2 linked regions of the Zea mays genome follow. The protein of the gene in region 2 binds, or shares a complex with, the protein of the main gene of each other region. Links are inferred from orthologs where the notes say so. Each region holds a gene or a part of one and is shown on either strand. Other genes may lie near its edges.

Region 1 (10,135 bases), on a different chromosome or scaffold from region 2:
CCAAGCCCTTCAGGCAGAGCAGGAGGCGGCCACCGCGGCCTAGGAGCGCGATGTTGCTGCCGCCCGGGTTCGCGCTGCTCTCGAGCGCGCAGCCCATGCGCGCGCCCTTGCTGCTCAGACTGCCACCGATGGCAGCCCTGTCGATGATACTCAGTCCCACCACTCTGATCCAGCGGGTGGTGATGACAAGGGCCTCCACGACGCCATCCTCCTTCACGAGGCTGCTGCGATCGTCAACCTCCACTCCCAGGCCGTCGCTGTGCAAAACATCCGGAGTCTCGTTCACGTCGTCCTCGACCTCGCCAACAACAACTACACTCGCTGGCGTGATGAGTTCCTTCTCGTCACTGGCAAATACTCCCTGGACAGCCACATCCTCGACGACACTCCCGCGCATCACTTCCCCGACTGGGCACGCATGGACTGCGTTGTCAAGTCCTGGATCTCCGGCTCCATCTCCCCGGATCTTGCTGAAATGGCCATGGAACGCGGCGCCACTGCCCGCACCACTTGGCTGACTCTCGAGAATCAGTTCCTCGGGAATCGGGAAACTCGCGCCCTCCACCTCGACGCTCAGTTCCGACACTTTGTCCAAGGTGATCTACCTGTCTCCGATTACTGTCGCCGTTTCAAAACCATGGCAGATGCCCTTGGTGATCTTGGTGAACCAGTCACCGACCGGACGTTGGTCCTCAATGTTCTGCGCGGCCTCAGCGACCGGTTCTCCGACATCGGCCGTCATCTTCGCCTCGGTCGCCCCTTTCCGACGTTCCACGACGTCCGGGCCACTCTCCTGTTGGAGGAACTCACGATGGCCCATCGTGCGTCTTCTCCATCCGCCGCCCTGCTTACCTCCACCAAACCTCCACAAGGCGGGACTTCGATGGCCTCCAACAAGGCTCCCACTGCTTCCAACAAGGCGCCTTCGGCTCCTCGCTCCGGCCACCCCAACCGTCGCAGCAAGAGGGGTGGCCAAGGCCGCCAGGGTATTCTTCCATTCCCTGGCACTGGTCCCGGCTTGTGGCCCTCCCTCCAAAACCCTTGGACTGGGGCCATCCAGATGTGGCCCGGCCCCCGGGCGCCAACCCCACAGCAGCAGCAAGGTCTCCTGGCGCAGCACCAGGCCCTGCTGCCTCCGGCGGCCCAGCAACAGCAGGTTTTTCATGCTGCTCCTGTCTCCATCGCCCCTCACCAGGCGCTGCTGGCCCACCAGACCCAGCAATATGTTCATGGTGCTCTTCAAGGACAGGGAGGCACCCCCCTGCAACACACTCTGCAGACCGGCCCCTTGCAGGGAGGCGCTACCCACGGCATGCTGGCTCCGCCAACTACTCCATCTTGGGACGCTCAGTCCCTTGCATCCGCTTTCAGCACTGTGTCCCTGACTCCGCCCCAGCAGACTGACTGGTACTTCGACACAGGTGCTACCTCCCACATGACCTCCAACGCCGGTACTCTATCCAACACTTCAACTCCCTCCCTTACTGCACCTTCTTCCATTATTGTCGGTGACGGCTCCCTTCTTCCTGTCATTTCCACTGGCTCCACTACTTTACATAATTCTTTACATCTCAACAATGTTCTTGTGTCACCTAAACTTATTAAGAACCTCATTTCCGTTCGCCAGTTTACTACCGATAATCACTGTTCCATTGAATTTGATCCCTCTGGTTGCTCTGTGAAGGATCTACTATCTCGGAACGTGATCGTCAGGTGCAATAGCTCCGGGCCCCTATACCCCCTGTGCCTCCCTGCTGCACACAGCTTCTGGCCGAGCTTCGTCACCCGTTACGTCGTGCCACGTTGGTCTATTGTGACAACATCAGTGCAGTCTATATGTCTTCAAACCCGGTCCAGCATCAGCGCACCAAGCACATTGAGATTGATTTGCACTTTGTTCGGGATCGGGTGGCTCTCGGCGATGTCCGCGTTCTCCATGTGCCTACTACCTCCCAGTATGCAGACATCTTCACAAGGGGCTTCCCTCTACAGTCTTCACGGAGTTCAGATCCAGCCTGAACGTCTGCGGTACCGACGATCAGACTGCGGGGGCGTGTTAGCTGATATATCAGACTTGTGTCTCCTACCATATAGGCGCAGGATACCCTACCATACATGTGCAGGCATCCTTGCCTTTCTAGCTACAGCCGCATATAGGAAGATATGGATTCAATCCTCCCATTTAGGGGCAGTGATTGTTTCCTTCCATTCCAGGAGATCTCAGGGTACTGTTTCTATAAACCTGAGATCTCCCACCTCTCTATCCCTCTATATATATGTGCGCCTGTACTATCAATCAATCAATATAGACAGCAATTATCTTGCTATCACACGCAAATCAGAATAAAACACAAGCTTAGGTACACCATATTGGATAACAGGTGTCACTCAGTGAAGTCCAAAAATCACTGAACTGAGCCAAATTTGCACAGCGTATTTTTGGTGTTGGAGAGTAAGCATGGTGCTAGCAAAGGTCTTCAGAAGAAAACAAAGGAAACAAGTGACCAGTGCCGGCCCTGAGGTTGGGGCAGCAGGGCGGCCGCCCTAGGTCCCCAAGTTCATAGTATATATTCAGTGGTCAGACTATCATTTTATGACACAATAGCTCAACAGCGAAGTGTCGAAGAGTTGGCGGTCACAATATGTCCACAGCTCGATTATATCTAAACATGTTATATTTTTAGATGTGTCTTAAGGGTTTATATTGGTTACATTTATATATATATATATAAAATAATTAGAAGGGCCTCTATTTTAAATCTTGTCCCGGGTCCCTAAAATCTCAGGACTGCCACTGCAAGCGACTCAACGTAACTAAAATCACATGGTTAGACAGATTCTAATGCAGCAGATTATGTTTGGTTGCCAACTAATGTTGCCACACAATCTTGACCTATTGAAAACTCATGAGCATTTGCTTGTTCTTGTACAGATAACCTTAGTCTTGCCACACTTTTGTGGCAACAAAATAGACACCTAAGGTTAGGCAAAATTAGGCAAGAAATCAGAATATATGACACAAGGTGGCTAAGAAGTTAGGCAGACTGCAATGTAAAAGGAACTAAACATTGCCTAGTAAAACTGTGTATGCCTAAGATTAGGACTTAGGCGTGAAATGCAAATCAATTACTCAAAGAATTATGAAGAATCGTCCCACTTAATATATGGAGCTAACAGATACAACTAGAATCACCAAAAAAACATTGGTCAGGCTTCAACTAATATTTGGTTACAATCAGTGAAGCTAGTCTGACAGAAAGAGAAAAACAGTAATGGAATATGGTATACACAAATTTCAAGTCATAATGTTACATCAGAAATTACTAGTTAAACCTACCACAAGGACTACATTTACTCATAGCTAACGAAGAAAGCATACAAAATCCACACAGAAAACGTATACAAATAACTTGGCTAGATCATCAAAGGTAGCAAATGGATACCTGATATTCTGCTCTCTGTGCTAAAAGAAGCAAGGTCTTTCCAATTTCACGTAGAACAAGAACAAGCAAATGCCCATGAGTTCTCACTACTTCGATTTCTTCTTGTATGCGAGAAACCAATCTTGAGATCTGATCCTTTGAAGGTATAGTTCCACGGTTTGACATTGGAAATATGCTGTTGACATAATCAGATAGCCGACTATGACACAGAGCCAAAAAGGCTGTCTGGAACATCTCAATGGCTGAAATCATATGATCTTTTCCTTCAGGAGTGAGAGCTGGAAGGGTGCCCTTTACATCAGTATCTCTTGAAATCCTCTCAAGGAGGTTTTCAACCATCGAAAACAGTCTTGGATACCCAAGAGTAAATATTTCTTTCACAAAGCTTGAAGCCGTAAAGGTAGTCTTCATCTGACTTGCAAAGGCCTTGACAATTGCATCCCAAACTCTCTCTGTTATAAGAGGCTCACCCTCCTGCACAAGATTTATTTTATTTTTGTTAAAACAACAGAAGCTTTTAGGGACGCCAGTCCTGTTTATATACAGGAGCAAAAAAAGAAATTGACAATAGTCTTATTGCCTGCAATTCTGTATGTACAAAATCACATTTCATTGAAATTACAACTAAGGAAGCCTGAAAAGACTGTTGGTATCCACTAGGTACCAAGTGCACATTTCATTCTATACTAAGCACCTTGATACAAGGGATCACTAGCATAGTTCCAGTATCAACTGCCGGACAATAGTGACATTGGTGGGGGGGAAAGGTATGAACAGCTGAAGTTGTACCCTTCAAATTTCAAGTTCATTACTTCATTTAACCAAACATATAGCCTAAAATATGTGATGTGTTTACAAGAGAAGATCTATTTGTGTTCTGATACATCAACATGCTCATTCTGTACTGCCTACATTGTCATTTTGGATCTCTTCCATCACCATTATATCTTAACAATTCACAAACCAACATCACGTGATCAATGACTTCGTGTTATACTCACAATTGTGCCACTATGTTAACTGTTAAGTTCCAATTTGCAACTTCAATTCATTTTCATCTGATCTAGTAAGTCCATGCATCAAACACTTACCTGCCAAACCTCCTCAAGAAAAAGCATTTGTGTGAATGGCACACGCTTCTTAGTGAGCACAGTCTGCAACTGCCAAGCAGCAGTCACTGCTCGGTGGAGCTCATCCATGCACTGCCTCATCCTATCCCATAGTGCCTCTGCAGCCTTCTTACTCCCACCAATCTGCGGCGTACCACTCCTCTGCACCCCTCCAGGACCACCTCCAACGCCAGCAGTCATTGATATCGCCTTCATGTCCAGTGCGACAGACACACTCTTTGCACCCGCTGCCTTGTGCTTTCCCACAAGCCCCTCCACTGCTGTCTTCAGTTCCCCGAGATTGTAGTACACCTGCAGCCCGCACCACACGTCGTTCTGGTTGGACTCGTAGACACCGCCATCGATCACAGCGCTGGCCTCTGAGCGCAGCTTTGACGCAGCGGCATCCACCTTGCGCATCTCCTCGTCAACGGCATTAATCCCGGAGAGGTTCTTCTCCTCATAGAGGAGGCGGATCTCGCGGTAGAGCTCAGCCTGGCGCGCAAGATCGGGCGCAGGGGAGGAGGCGAGGAGTCGGGAGGAGAGGCGCACTAAGCGGTGGGAGTGGAGGAGGAGGTCGGCTGTGGCCAAGAGGCTGGAAAGGGAAGCCGAGGAGTGAGCGAGATGGGAGCGCGGGGCCGAGAGGTGGGAGGAGAGGAGAGAGAGGTGAGAGGAGAGAAGGTTGAGGTGGGATGGGAGCGAGGAGAGAGACGCGGAGGCGGAGCGGAGAGAAAGGAGGTGGGAGAGGAGGAGGGGGTGGCGGCGCAGCACCTCGACGCGGAGATGGCGGCGGAGGAGGCGGATGGCATCCTGCAGCTGCTCGGCGCGGGAGGCAGCGAGTCCTGAGGAAAGCGCGGCGGAGGAGAAGACAGAAGGGGAGAAGGACGGCGACAGGAAGGCGGAGAGGACGGGATCGGAGGCGAAGGCGTCGAGCGGGGAGGCGGGATCGTCGGAGGTGGGGGAGGGCGGCGAGGTGAAGGAGGCGGCTGTGAGAAGGTCCTTGGACGTCGGCGAGAGGAGACGGGGAGTGGTGGGGGGCGGCGCTGCCATGGCGGGGGCGGCCTTCGGAGAGTTCGGGGTGGATCTGGACTCTGGAGGTGGAGGGAAGCGAGATCTAGCCGAGAGTGCGAATACAGTTGGCATGGAGGTCGTTGCTCCGATTTGTTGGTTTTGTGCTTGGGACGATCACGATTAATTTCGAAAACTATTTTTAACAAGAACTGTTTAATTATTGTTATTATTATTATTATTCAGTTAATCATTCTATTTATGTCAAATATATTACTAGTTAGACACACGCTATGATTTATATATATCGCATAGTTAAACTTTATTTTATATTATGTTTGAATATAGAATATAAAACACAAAAATATGTATTCTCCTGGTTAAATGAGTATGAACGTGGAGACAATGACCAAGGTTTGAACCCCACTTGTGCATAATTTTTGAAAACTAGTGCTTTATACAATAGAGATTATATATGCCTATATTTGTGATATTTTTTACTTGTCAAAGTTAACCACTGTTGACAACTAAGGTTGTCCATTTTGTGAAGTTGACAAAATATGAATGAATTTCATCATTACATTTCTCTTGGCAAGATGATAAAAATGATATATAGGCAAGTCTAATTTAGAGTTCAGATTAAATTAGTTTTCAAAAAGATGCTATGTGGTTTATAGTTTTAATATCAGAATTTTCGAGAAACATAAAACTTGCTTAGTGTCCAAGATCATCATCATGTTGAAGGTTCCAACAAATGTAGAAAGTTCTTACGATAATTATGACAAACCTAAAAAGCTATATTTAAAAATAACCTTTTGGATTTTGATCTGAATTGTTCAAGATTCATAAAAAAATGTCTCGGAAAGATCCCCTGCTAGGATTAGAGATGGCAATGGGGACCCGATCCTCAATTTCCCGCGGGAAATTCTCCTATTAGGGGACGGGTATGTGACTAATTTAGTCCCCGCGGGGATCTAGATGGGAGAAATTTAATCTCCGTCGGGTTCGAGGGGACGGGGACGGGTTCCCCGTGTACCCGCCCCACGAAACTTTTTTATTCAAGTTAGTCAATTTATTTGTTAGAATTATAGTAAAAACTCAATGTATGACATGTTATAAAACAACAAACTAAACTCTAAACTAGATGTCTCTTGTAATTTTTAATCTTGTTTGTTAAATTTGTATTAATTTGATAAAATTAATTTAAATTTATCTTATATTGTACTTCTAGTGGGGGACAGATTCACCGTGAGGTTCCCCACGGGGATAAATTCCCCGACGGGGACGGAGATGGAAGAAAAAGCTTTCCCGTGAGCGTTCGCGCGGGGACGGGGACGGGGAATTTTCCTCCCCACGGGGACGAGGATGGGGAGTCATTCCCCGACGGGGAAATCCCCGTTGCCATCCCTAGCTAGGATAATGCCACCTCTCTCTCTACACACACATATTAGAGGGTCATGGAAGATCGAGCGATCCAACAACCAATCATAAAAAAACATATCTACTATTTTTACCCTTTATTTTCTCATATACTTATTCTCCTTATTCTTTATCGCTAACGTATGACCGATGGTTTGATGAGGACAAGGACCTAGACCGGTTAGGCTAGCTAGGGCAGTCCATAGTCGTCACATGGCTCGACGAGGTCCCTCCTGGTCATGCGGGTTGTTATATCAAGAGACCACATCAACAATGTATTGTGTATTGCGCTCCCAATGAGGCTCCCCCATAGATGTGTCCTGTGTATCATGATCATTGCTAGAGGCATTAGGTTTGAGTGTGAAAACATAACTTATGCATCAGTCGACCTAATAGTTGGCTAGGCCTATCATCGAGCGACCTAGCTCTTTAAGAGTGTGTTTGGTTTGAGGAATGAAGTTATCCATCTTCTTCTCATTCATCACTTTTTTATTTGGTTTGTGGAATAGAATGGATTGATCCATCGTCACCCCATTCCTCATAAGCTAATAATTAGTATAAACATGAGGAGTGAGTTGATTCCACCAAAATTGATGGATGAACTTATGATGCATCACCTCATTAAGCATAGAGTGACTCCACAAACCAAACACACTATAAAAGTGTGGTGACTTAATTAAGCATCAACATATTTTTTGTGACTTCATTGGGGAACAATTGATTCGGTTGTATCATACAATCGATCTTTCTAACATTGCCATTTTATTGTTTTGAATATATCCTTATTGTTTTTTCCACTGTCATTGCATCTAGCCAAAAAGGTTGATACATCAGAACAATCAAATTAATCAAGAAAGTGTTGAAAACTGAAAGGGAATTAGGCTTACACCTAGTCCCTAATTAATTTTGGCGGTTGAACTGCCCAACACAATTAATTGGACTAACTAGTTTGCCCAAGTGTATAGATTATACAGGTGTAAAAGGTTCACACTCAGCCAATAAAAAGATTAAGTTTTGGATTCAACAAAGGAGCAAAGAGGCAACCGAAGGCACCTCTGGTCTGGAGGCACCGGACTGTCCGGTGTACACCGGACAGTGTCCGGTGCGCCACCGGACTGTGTCCGGTGCACCAGAGGACTCCAACTCGAACTCGCCACCTTCGGGAATTTCTCAGGCCGGCGCGCTATAAATCACCGGACTGTCCGGTGTACACCGGACAGTGTCCGGTGCTCCAAGGAAGCGCGGCCTCAGGAACTCGCCAGCCTCGGGATTTCACTTCAGCCGCTCCGCTATAATTCACCGGACTGTCCGGTGTGCACCGGACTGTCCGGTGTACCAGCGGAGCAACGGCTATTTCGGCGCCAACGGCTACCTTCGGCGCATTTAATGCGCGCTCTGCGCGCGCAGAAGGCAGGCGCGCCCATACTGGCGCACCGGACAATGAACAGGAGTTGTCCGGTGTGCACCGGACATCCAGGTGGGCCCAGAAGTCAGAAGCTCCAACGGTCAGAATCCAACGGCAGTGATGACGTGGCGGGGGCACCGGACATGTCCGGTGTGCACCGGACTGTCCGGTGCGCCATCGAACAGACAGCCTCCACCAACGGTCAAGTTGGTGGTTGGGGCTATAAATACCCCAACCACCCCACCATTCATTGCATCCAAGTTTTCCACTTCCCAACTACTACAAGAGCTCTAGCATTCAATTCTAGACACACCAAAGAGATCAAATCCTCTCCAAATTCCACACAACGCCATAGTGACTAGAGAGAGTGATTTGCTTGTGTTCTTTCGAGCTCTTGCGCTTGGATTGCTTTCTTCTTTCTTGATTCTTTCGTTGCAATCAAACTCACTTGCAATTGAGGCAAGAGACACCAAACTTGTGGTGGTCCTTGTGGGAACTTTGTGTTCCAAGTAATTGAGAAGAGAAAGCTCACTCGGTCCGAGGGACCGTTTGAGAGAGGGAAGGGTTGAAAGAGACCCGGCCTTTGTGGCCTCCTCAACGGGGAGTAGGTTTGCGAGAACCGAACCTCGGTAAAACAAATCCGCGTGTCACACTCTTCATTTGCTTGCGATTTGTTTTGCGCCCTCTCTCGCGGACTCATTTATATTTCTAACGCTAACCCGGCTTGTAGTTGTGTTTACTTTTGTAAATTTCAGTTTCGCCCTATTCACCCCCCCCCCTCTAGGCGACTATCAATTGGTATCAGAGCCCGGTGCTTCATTAGAGCCTAACCGCTCGAAGTGATGTCGGGAGATCACGCCAAGAAGGAGATGGAGACCGGCGAAAAGCCCACTACAAGCCATGGGAGCACTTCATCGGAAGAGTCCCGCACCAAGAGGAGGGAGAAGAAGAAGAGCTCCTCCAACAAAGGGAAGGAGAAGAAATCTTCTTCTCACAACAAAGAGAAGAAGGAAAAATCCTCTTCTCACAAGCCGCATCGGAGTGGGGACAAGCAAAAGAGGATGAGGAAAGTGGTCTACTACGAGACCGACACTTCATCAACATCGACCTCCGGCTCCGATGCGCCCTCCGTAACTTCTAAACGTCAAGAGCGTAAGAAGTTTAGTAAGATTCCCCTACACTATCCTCGCATTTCTAAACATGCACCTTTACTTTCCGTACCATTAGGCAAACCACCAACTTTTGATGGTGAAGATTATGCTAGGTGGAGTGATTTAATGCGATTTCATCTAACCTCACTCCACAAAAGTATATGGGATGTCGTTGAGTTTGGTGCACAGGTACCATCCATAGGGGATAAGGATTATGATGAGGATGAGGTGGCCCAAATCGAGCACTTCAACTCTCAAGCAACAACAATACTCCTCGCCTCTTTAAGTAGAGAGGAGTATAACAAAGTTCAAGGGTTGAAAAGTGCCAAGGAGGTTTGGGATGTGCTCAAAACCGCGCACGAGGGAGATGAGCTCACAAAGATCACCAAGCGGGAAACGATCGAGGGGGAGCTCGGTCGGTTCCGGCTTCGCAAAGGGGAGGAGCCACAAAACATGTACAACCGGCTCAAGACCTTGGTGAACCAAGTGCGCAACCTCGGGAGCAAGAAGTGGGACGACCACGAAATGGTTAAGGTTATTCTAAGATCTCTCATTTTCCTTAACCCCACTCAAGTTCAATTAATTCGTGGTAATCCTAGA
Region 2 (9,403 bases):
GGGAACTTGCAAAAACTGAACAAAATGGTAGAGGAAACTGACCTGTACATTTGAAACCAGTGGCTCGTAATATCCAATCCAAGCAATATCAAGAAGACTAAACCAGGTCTGTAACAATGCTTGCAATTAGGATTTGTACTAGACATTGAGATACAAGACAAATCAATACAAGCTCTTCTGCTTTTGATACCTGTAAAACTGGGAGAGAAGGGCCAACAAACAAGCAGTGCTAACCCTGAAGAAAAACAATGTGAGCTGTAAAATTATTTCAGTCTGTAGAATACTATAATGTATTCACCCTGCATATCCAGAGTTTAAAGATTCATTCAAGGAGTACCTATCTGTAACCATGTCTAACACAGCTCCAAAGGTTGATGCTGATTCATAGAATGAAATAAACTGATCAGATAATGTTATAACTTAACAGATAGCTTATATACTGTGTGGAAAAAAGGAAAAAGAGATTTAGCTGAGATCAATCTTTACACATAACCATTTGAAAGTTGGTCTCCAGCACACAATGCAAGGAAATTTCATTATAGCAAAGATGGGTATTAACCTTCTTCACATAATGACAGGCTACATGACTTGAAAACAGGGAGAATGTGAATTATTACCTTGATTGAACTTCCTTGCAAACCAACCATCCACACCATCAAGGACAAAGCTAGCATGTTTGTAAAGATGTTAGAACAATATACATAAATCATTGGCAACCTCAAGAAGTTTGCAGATATAAGACGCTCACCTGATGAAGTACAGGATAGCAAAGAGAGCCTTGTTGGAATAGCAAACCGCAAATGCAATGAAATTTATGATGATCCTAAAATACCCTGTGTGATAATGACAATTCTTGGAATTTTAGTCACATAGGCTTCTGTTTTTCATTCATGCTAAAAGCAGTAGATAAACATATTGTCTCGTTGGTTAAACTATGTGTCCTCTACTAAATTTATGGTTCCATTTATGTAGCTATACTTGGGCAGCAAAGTGGCAACAAAACTAAAACGCAGTATGTGGATGTTGCTTCTGCACTGCATAGCAAACTGGCAACATAACTAGAATGAAGTACAAAATCAATGACAGAAAGTAGGCAATGTTTCCAGTTGCACGAATCATTACTCATTAGTACAATTATCCAGACTTTGAGATATAAGTAACAAAAAAAATATAAATATTATATAATAGGTTTTGGAACAGCAAAATAGAATGTCAATAGATAACCATCCAGAGGCGTACCGATAATGTTAGGGATGTAAAGATAAACTGATGGCATTTTGCCAGAGGGCAATTGTGCCTAGTCGCCTAGAGAAGATCAGGAGTAACCAAGAGCTTGAGGTCCGTAAGTTCTGCCCTTAAATTGGTGAGCATAAATAAACTTAACGGGATTCCTGTCAGATGAGTATATCGTTTATATATTGATCCAAAAAAACAAAGTTTTTACAAGAAAATCAAGTACAGTGTTAGTATAACCCTTGTACCTTTTACAAACTAAAAAAACTCGTATTTATATGTCCCAATGAAATATCAACATAATCGCTGGTTTTCCAAAAGAGGAGATGAAAGCAAACATTTATTTTTTGCCCATAGCAGTACAGATGACTACGGTGGCAAAATATCTGAATTGTGGCAAATAAAGCTTGAACTAGGCATGATTAAAGCATTTGCTTCTTTGCTAGTATATAAATCTAGAAGCATCCGATATCATATTTAAGCCTGTAATATGCCTAGTTTTTGCATCATGGAGTTCGGCGGAGCCAATACAACACGTAGACCCGATAGTTTTTGCCAAAAAAAACAAGCTATTAGTAGGCACAATACATAAACATACCTAGTGGTTATCAGATCTGATCCGAATACAGATAGCCAAATAGGTTAAATTAGGGTTCAGGTGCACATTTTGCACAGAAGGGAAGAGAAGGGGCAGGCATACCTGGTGTGGCAGGCGCTCGTCGCCGACGCCGCAGGCAAAGGGCCCGACGAAGACCTGGGCAGCTGGGAGAAGGGCGGCAGCGGTCGCCGGCGTGTTCGGTTGCGCTGACGCTAGGCCCGGACCCAGTAATGCAGGCACCTGGCCCCCGTGGAAACGGCGGGGGGAATCGAGCGTGTAAAGGGAGAAAACGGCAAACAGGGTGTGAACGCACGACTTCTCTTTTTTGTATCTCTCGTTCTTTTTTCATTCTATTGCCATGACACGTTTTTTTTCGGTTTTTATTCCGCTTGTACCTAATTTTATTATTATAAGTCCTGCCTCATAAAAATCATTTCTTTTTTATCCACAATTGAAGCTTTTTTTCCCATTGCCCTAGTGGTAATTTTTTTTTGTCAGTCTTTTAAAAGTTGTGCTCTAACTAACTTAGAATCTTTTCATTTCACATAAATATGTCATAAGACTTTTCTATTAAATATGTAACATTTTTCTTGTGCCTGTAGAATGTTTTTCTCGAGAATTTGGAAAAAGTTTACTCATAATGGTGGTATAAATTTCCTTTTAGCATGGAATGTTTTGGTCATGAGCTGCATCATTTTGCTAGTGAAACTATAATGTGTTCCTTCAAGAAGTAGAACATTGTTTTATTTTAAGAAAAAATCTTAAGTTGGAACATTTTGTTTTAAAGCTACCACATTTTCCTTTTGAATGTAGTATTTAAGGGCAAACACCAAAAAAATATAATTGATGTTAACATTACTCCCTTCCAAACTATAAGATAATTTGACCCTTTTAGATTCACCATTTTTCTATACATTTAGATGTACACTATATCAACATAATTTGACCCTAAAAATTAAAAATGCTTTATAATTTAAAATTGAGAGGGTATAAGTATAGATGTACAGAAAACACGAAAGCTCGGTCTGAAGCATGTTTTTTTGGTCTGGTACGAGCCCGGTCCAGCCCGCATTTATACGGGCCCGGACCAGCCCGGCACAAATAAGCGGGCCGGACCCCGACAGGAAACTAAGCACGGTGGGCTAGCTCGGCACGACCCGTTTACCTTTAAACCCGTCAAGCCCGCCTTTTTACACTAAATCGTACTTACCGACCTGTTTTTGGTCTGCTTTTTTCGTGCTTACCGGGTCGGTCCGACCCGTTTAGGCTCATAGCGGGCCGTGCTCGGACAGGGAAACGAGCCCACGGGCTTAGACAGTCTGGCCCGGTTTTCTAACCGTGCCTAGCGAGCCGGGCCCAAAACGGGTCGGGCGGCCATTTGGCCATCTCTAAGTATAAGTCATTAGGATTTTGTTGGGAAAATATCCTATGCAATCACTTATCCTGGTGCAAGCATGCAATCAAGCGATCTGGTACATCCGATCTAGATATAATGATAACTGTTATTTTACATTTAACCCCTTCCACCTGAAACCTAGTGTCTATTTTACATTTAACCACTTCCATATAAAACCGTTGCATCTAGACTGGATGCTCTGGATAGTTTGATTGCACGCTTGCACCAAAATGAGTGATTGCACAGGATATGTCCTCGATTTTGTTATGACAAAATATTATTTAAACTAGTGCACTAAAAGTAATGTAAAAACCCTAAACCAATATTACATGCCTCAATCTTTTACTACATATTATAACGTTAAATAAAAATATCTAGTGGAATCTATTAGTAAAATATTTGGTAGAATCTGAAAAGATTTTGACGCTTGGTGCTAGCAGCGAGAAACATTTTAGTTTTTCAACAAAATTACTGTCAAACACCGCAAAGGAGACAAACGTTTCGAGGATGATTATTTGGAACCGATTATCATTTGTACACTAGAAACAAACGTAATATAGTTTCTCATTTAGTTCTAGCTTCAAACTTCCAGCGAACTACCCAATGCAAAATCTAATCTGGATGCAAAATGTTTTTACGAGAAACCTGCCAAATGCACCCTATGATCCATCCAATTCTGACGAGCTTATAAAGCTGATCCTCATTCTTTCCCCTAGGTTTGTAATAGAAAATCGTGCAATCAATATAGGCTCCAAGTAATGAATTATTCTATATAGGATTATTCTCACTATGTGCCAGCAGTACGGTTACAAGGCAAGAAAAAAAAGGTGAAGCAACAAGCTACAAGCCCGCATGCCAAACATACGATCGCAGAAGCGTGCGGTAATGCATGCTTTTACAGAGGTAAACCTCATGGAAAGGGGGAGAAGTTAGGACGATTTCACTAATCTAATGTGATCCGCCGGATCTTGCAGACCAGATGGGTAGTAGGGAGGTCGAGCTGGCTTGCACCATCAGATTTGATCAGATCACGGACCTGGTCCCTCGGGGTGGAGACGCAGGCGTGGAAGGTAGACAGGAATGGAGGGATTGGCATCGAGAGCGCAGAGAGGACATTGTTTAGGTACTCAATGTCAGCAGCGAGCTGCTGTGAACCTCGGTCGGTGATGTAGTGGATTCCTCGGAGCTGCTCCATGAACAAAGCAGTGGCACCTTCGGCGACCTGGTACATGGAAGCAGAGATGATAATCAAGACTGAATGTTCCAACATCAACAGAAGTGGTGCTATGAATTATGATTAAAACATGGGAAGATTCGAAATAGCCTTCTATTCAATCGTATCTTCCTACATGATGTGCAAGTGACCTTTTGCATACGTGTAGAAAGATTTCGCGTTTATTACCTTAAAAATCCACTCGGTGGCAAAGAACTGGGCCTCATCGTTGCCAGCCTCATTGCCTGAGATACCTTCCGCGAGTGGCTCCAGCTGCTGTGGTAAAGTGAGGAGATACTCCCCAACGCTGGTCACGTATGCTTGCGGGTAGGCACTGAAGCTTGGAAGAGGAAGACCACCCTGTTCCTCCACGGATGACCAGATTGGAAGGCGTGCGACCTCACTGAGACGCTGCCGAACCTTAGATATGAGCACATCATAGACGAGTTCATTTACTGTGTCTGAGAAGGCTGCAACTCTTTGTGATGTGAGAGGAAGAGCATGGAATCTTGGATCTTTTGACTGTAAAAATTAAATAAATAAAAATGTTAGCAACATGAGGGCAACTAAATTTAGTTGGGTGGGAAATTTGCAGGTTATGAGTAGGTTCTATGAACAGATCTGATTAACTAGTGATGTGGAGCAGAAGAGGCAAATGAAAATGATTAGATCTCAGCTTCATGTGAAACTAGATGTTCAAGATGTACCACGAAATGTAGTCCTTATGTTTCTACACTGACTAAAACAAGGGAATATGGAAAAGGAACCAAATGAGTCATTTGTCTGGACTGCATAATTTTCATCGAAAACAACCAAGGGCATGTTTATGTATTGTAGTTTTCGGAAAATATAGTATCATAAAACTGTGGTGCAAGCCAAAGAGATAAAAAAAAACCATGATTTAGAAAAAGTTAGTCATGATTGGAGTTATTAAAACTTCAAAAATACTACAGTTTTAACAAAATCATGGTTTTAGAAACTACTAAGTTTACTGTATCCAAACACCCAACAGCTTTTGAAACCATGGTATTGCTCCAATACTTTAAAATACTCCAACCCAAAATAAGTGCACTTCTACAATTCAAAATTTGTCCTAAAATAAGTGGACATCCAGCTATAGACTAGCTAACTTCAGTAGCTTTCTTAACTTTATTTCTTCCTAAGGTTTAATTATTACATGGTGGAGCAACCTTTATAGAGTATATATGTAATTTTACTACTATCTTTGGTATCTCCTACTAAATCTAAAAATACATTTGTTTTGGGATGGAGGGGGTACTCTGCATCCAAACAGGGCCTAATATGTGTTTTGCAAAAATACAGACACAAGGTGAGTCAACCCAACTTGAAATGATGCAATCTGGACCGTGGATCAAAGATCAGATAGTTCAGGACTTGGTTCTATAGAAAAATAAGAAAGATTCATTCATCAAGTTCTATCAGGTGATGATTGACATTGACTGCAGATCATGCATCACTATGCAAGTTTCAATCAATATTCAGATATACAGTTACAACCCAGAGACATAAGTGATGACTCCTGTGTTGTAAGTTGTAACAGAAAATTTGAAAATTTAAAACAACAAAACCTACCTGTTCTAGCACAGTTAAGAACTTCTTAGACTTATCTGGCAGATCACTTAAGCGAATAGCTGCAATGTCCAGCGCAGCCCTCCCAGCAAAAGACAAGTCTGCATTCTCATCAGCAGTTGCTGCAGGTGATTTATCCAGGCTTGAGCCAAATCCAGAAACAGAAAAGTTTGTTCCAATCCTGGCAAGTGTAGCTCTTAAAGAAGCTTCAAAGACTGAGGTTCTGCTAGTTAGGCAATCAGCAACTGTAAGAATTTGCAAAGCACCTTGGACAATAGACCATTCTTCCTCTTCAGAAACATCCACCAATCGTTGTACTTCCTTTTTCTCTAAACCTGCATCTTTTTTCAAGGCATCACTATCCAGTCCACAGATTATCCTCAGGGACTTCAATGTTTCTTGGAGATTAGATATGTACTGCAGCATGACGTCATCAAGAGCCAGTACCAGTTCATCTGCTTCTGAACCACCAGTCAGACTAATGCATCTCTCCACAGCTGCCTCAAGGAGTACTATCATTTCTGGGATGGATTCCTCCATTCTGCGGACAGTTTCGCTCAGCTCTATACCCTGTGCACCAACACCACGAGGGACGGCCCCACGGATGTCGATACTTGTCATCTCAGCAGAGAGTATAGCACGCTCCATCTGCCCATACCTACATGACACCCAATAAAAAGACACGCAGCACCAAATGATCATTGCCATACATCAATTGCATCAAAGAAATCTCATAAATGCAGCTGGTAACGAGATGCAAAACAATTTTTTCCTTTGGTGGTTGTGTGTGCATTGACCAATTGATTTAAGTATTTACCTTCCTTTAAAGGTTTCATATGGGGGAATAAATAGCTTTCGACCAATTGATCTAAGTATTTACCTTGCTTTAAAGGTTTCATATGGAGAATAAATAGCTTTCAAAGTATTCAGCACAACTGCAAGATCTGATTCTGAAAATAAGTACTGAATGTTCCTAGCAAAAGTGCCAGTCATATTGTGCAGTTCAATTAGCGCTTGAAGATGCTTATTCTGCAATTTGGTGCTTTTTGGTAAGTCACCTGATAGAACATCCAATATACCTGGATACAGAGAACAAAAACACAATTCTCTGTTAGGAAAACAAGCAAGATTAAGCAAACAAAACTAATAGCTTGTTAAAGCACAAAAATATATGTGATAAAACCATGGGATAGATGTAGGTCAAAATAAAATTAATGAGCAATCTATGCATTACCTTTGGCAATAGATCTGGTTTCAGGAATAACATCCCCGGTTGCTATATTTATACGAGAGACAAAGCTTGAATTCAACTCACTCATGGTCTCAGTAAGTACTTTTGGTACAAGTGATTTGTATTCGTCAGGGAAAGCAGTCAAGCACCTGTGAGCATCACCATTTCCATTTAGAGCAACCACAGGCTAAATTGCAGTTCTGATAGGGAAAAATAAGTGTTATATTTTTTGGTCTAAACAATGTGTTTTATTCATTATGCCAGATATTGCTTAAGGGCTGCTTCTAAAAACTGACTTCCGCTTAACCACTTTAGAACTAGTCCTAGGTATATTTAACTCAGATCAAAGGTGAAGATCACCATGAACATACCACTTCCACTCTTGTTCAAGGTAAAGCAGTGTCTCATCATAGAAATTAGGCAGCCAACTAGAGAATGAGAGGCCACTAATGCTTTCACCACTGAGTTTCTCCATGTCTACCTTGCTGGATCTTTGCTTTAGCTCAAAATCATCCCAGAGTTTCTTTAGAGGCTTAACATGGATCTTAGTGTATTGCACTTCCAGTGACTTGAACCTATTGATACGGATCAGTATACCACGAAGATCTTGCACGGCATCAACCTTTCAAAAAAGAAACAGGTTCCGAGTAAAATAGAGATCCTCAATGTAACAAACCACTACCTCCGCTTTGAGTTGAAAGTCGTGTTGTTATTTCTAGATATATAGCTTTTACTACGTATCAAGACATAATGTATTTTAGGTGCATAGCAGAAATTATGTATCTAGAAAAGCCAAAACGACTTAAAATTCGGAACGGAGAGAGTATTGTTTTGTGGGGATTATACCTTGCGATTAGAAAGTGCATCTACTAATCGAGGCTGCACCATTTCATCTAGCCTTTCTTCCAATACTTCAAGTTGTTTTCTGACGTTTGCAAACTCGGCAACCTGAAAGAAACCTTGTTATAAGCAAAACAAACAGGCTGTGTATGCAGCTCATGGCTTTTTACAGAGAGTATGACACCTCTCCAACTGCTGACAAGCAATGTCTCATAGTTGCCAGGGTTTCTGCAGCTTTTGGAAGATTGCCACTAGAAAACACATCCTCAACACTCTGGCTCAACTGAGCTAACCCAGCAGCATCCTGCCATTCCATCAAATGAACTCTTAAAAATAATAAACAAGAATTTACCACATTAGTAAAACTATACTCCAGTGGTGTGCCATGGTCTACAACTCCAGATAGACCTTACCTGCAATGTTGTGTATGCGGCTTCCATGCGCTGTTTCACAGTGTCAATACGCGCTAGTGCAGCTATTGATTCTGCGGATGAGCCCTCAGCCTGGATGGAAATATATTATATAACCATGAATACTTTGTTAGTTGTCGCCTTAGCAAAAATGTAGCTGGAACAGAATACAGTATATCAAGATAGAGTGAGCTTGGGCAGAGGGATAGACTGCAAACCCCCGAGAGATTAGTTTGGTGTACAAGAATGGTTCTCTCACGGTCACACAATGACACAACTGAAGGCCAAGATTTTATTTTCCTTGCATATTGTTGTACTGGAATTTTTATCACCTCAGTATGTAAGCATTACTAGAACTCCATGGCTCTTTGCCTTTTTTTTGGCAAGCAAAGAAAAGTTCTATGCAGATTGCCTTCGAATCTGAATGTCTGAATTGCTCCTAATTTTAACTCTTACAATACGCTCAAGTTTGTAAGTACATAAAATGACAATATCCAAATTAGTCCGCATGACATCTAATGCAACTATGTCAGAGTGTAGCTTAGTTTCACAAAACCCGGAGGCCCAAAACATTTCGAGATAAACTTTCAACTGGTAGCAGATTTGGGCAACGAAATCTGAACATAAACTAATCAAACTAAATGACTCACTCGTGAATTTCGTACTACTTGTACGCTAGTACGCTACAATTGTACTCATGTCGTATCCAAGGTGAAACCCAGGCAGATGAAATCAGACTTGACTAGACATGGATGTGAGATCCAGATCCATCTGAAATATACGTGCGAAGAGACTACGCGCGGTAAGCTATTCCAGAGCTCGAAGCAATCCATCTCGGTTTCGCGTAATAAACCCACGGGATTGTTAGTGAGTCCCAGATCCAATAAGGAGA

Evidence for each region.
Region 1: Conserved oligomeric Golgi complex subunit 7 (region 2) and Conserved oligomeric Golgi complex subunit 5 share a complex: the UniProt entries of both Arabidopsis thaliana proteins name them as parts of the conserved oligomeric Golgi complex. The link is inferred for Zea mays from reciprocal best matches to the Arabidopsis thaliana genes EYE and AT1G67930.

What each region holds. Positions count from the first base shown.
Region 1 is NC_050101.1:153,635,233-153,645,367, forward strand, and holds the start of Conserved oligomeric Golgi complex subunit 5, read right to left. Parts: upstream 5,630-10,135; 5' UTR 5,603-5,629; coding exon 4,535-5,602; intron 3,918-4,534; coding exon 3,444-3,917; intron 1-3,443. UniProt on the Arabidopsis thaliana protein: Required for normal Golgi function.
Region 2 is NC_050104.1:115,464,618-115,474,020, forward strand, and holds the end of Conserved oligomeric Golgi complex subunit 7, read right to left. Parts: intron 8,605-9,403; coding exon 8,515-8,604; intron 8,406-8,514; coding exon 8,286-8,405; intron 8,210-8,285; coding exon 8,108-8,209; intron 7,884-8,107; coding exon 7,633-7,883; intron 7,411-7,632; coding exon 7,265-7,410; intron 7,110-7,264; coding exon 6,911-7,109; intron 6,689-6,910; coding exon 6,034-6,688; intron 4,963-6,033; coding exon 4,630-4,962; intron 4,450-4,629; coding exon 4,171-4,449; 3' UTR 3,973-4,170; downstream 1-3,972. Other genes in the region: phosphatidylinositol synthase, read right to left, coding at 43-108, 191-235, 338-377, 618-667, 749-833, 1,240-1,276. UniProt on the Arabidopsis thaliana protein: Required for normal Golgi function. Necessary for embryo development and pigmentation, especially for the expansion of cells and organs, and for the formation of the organized shoot apical meristem (SAM).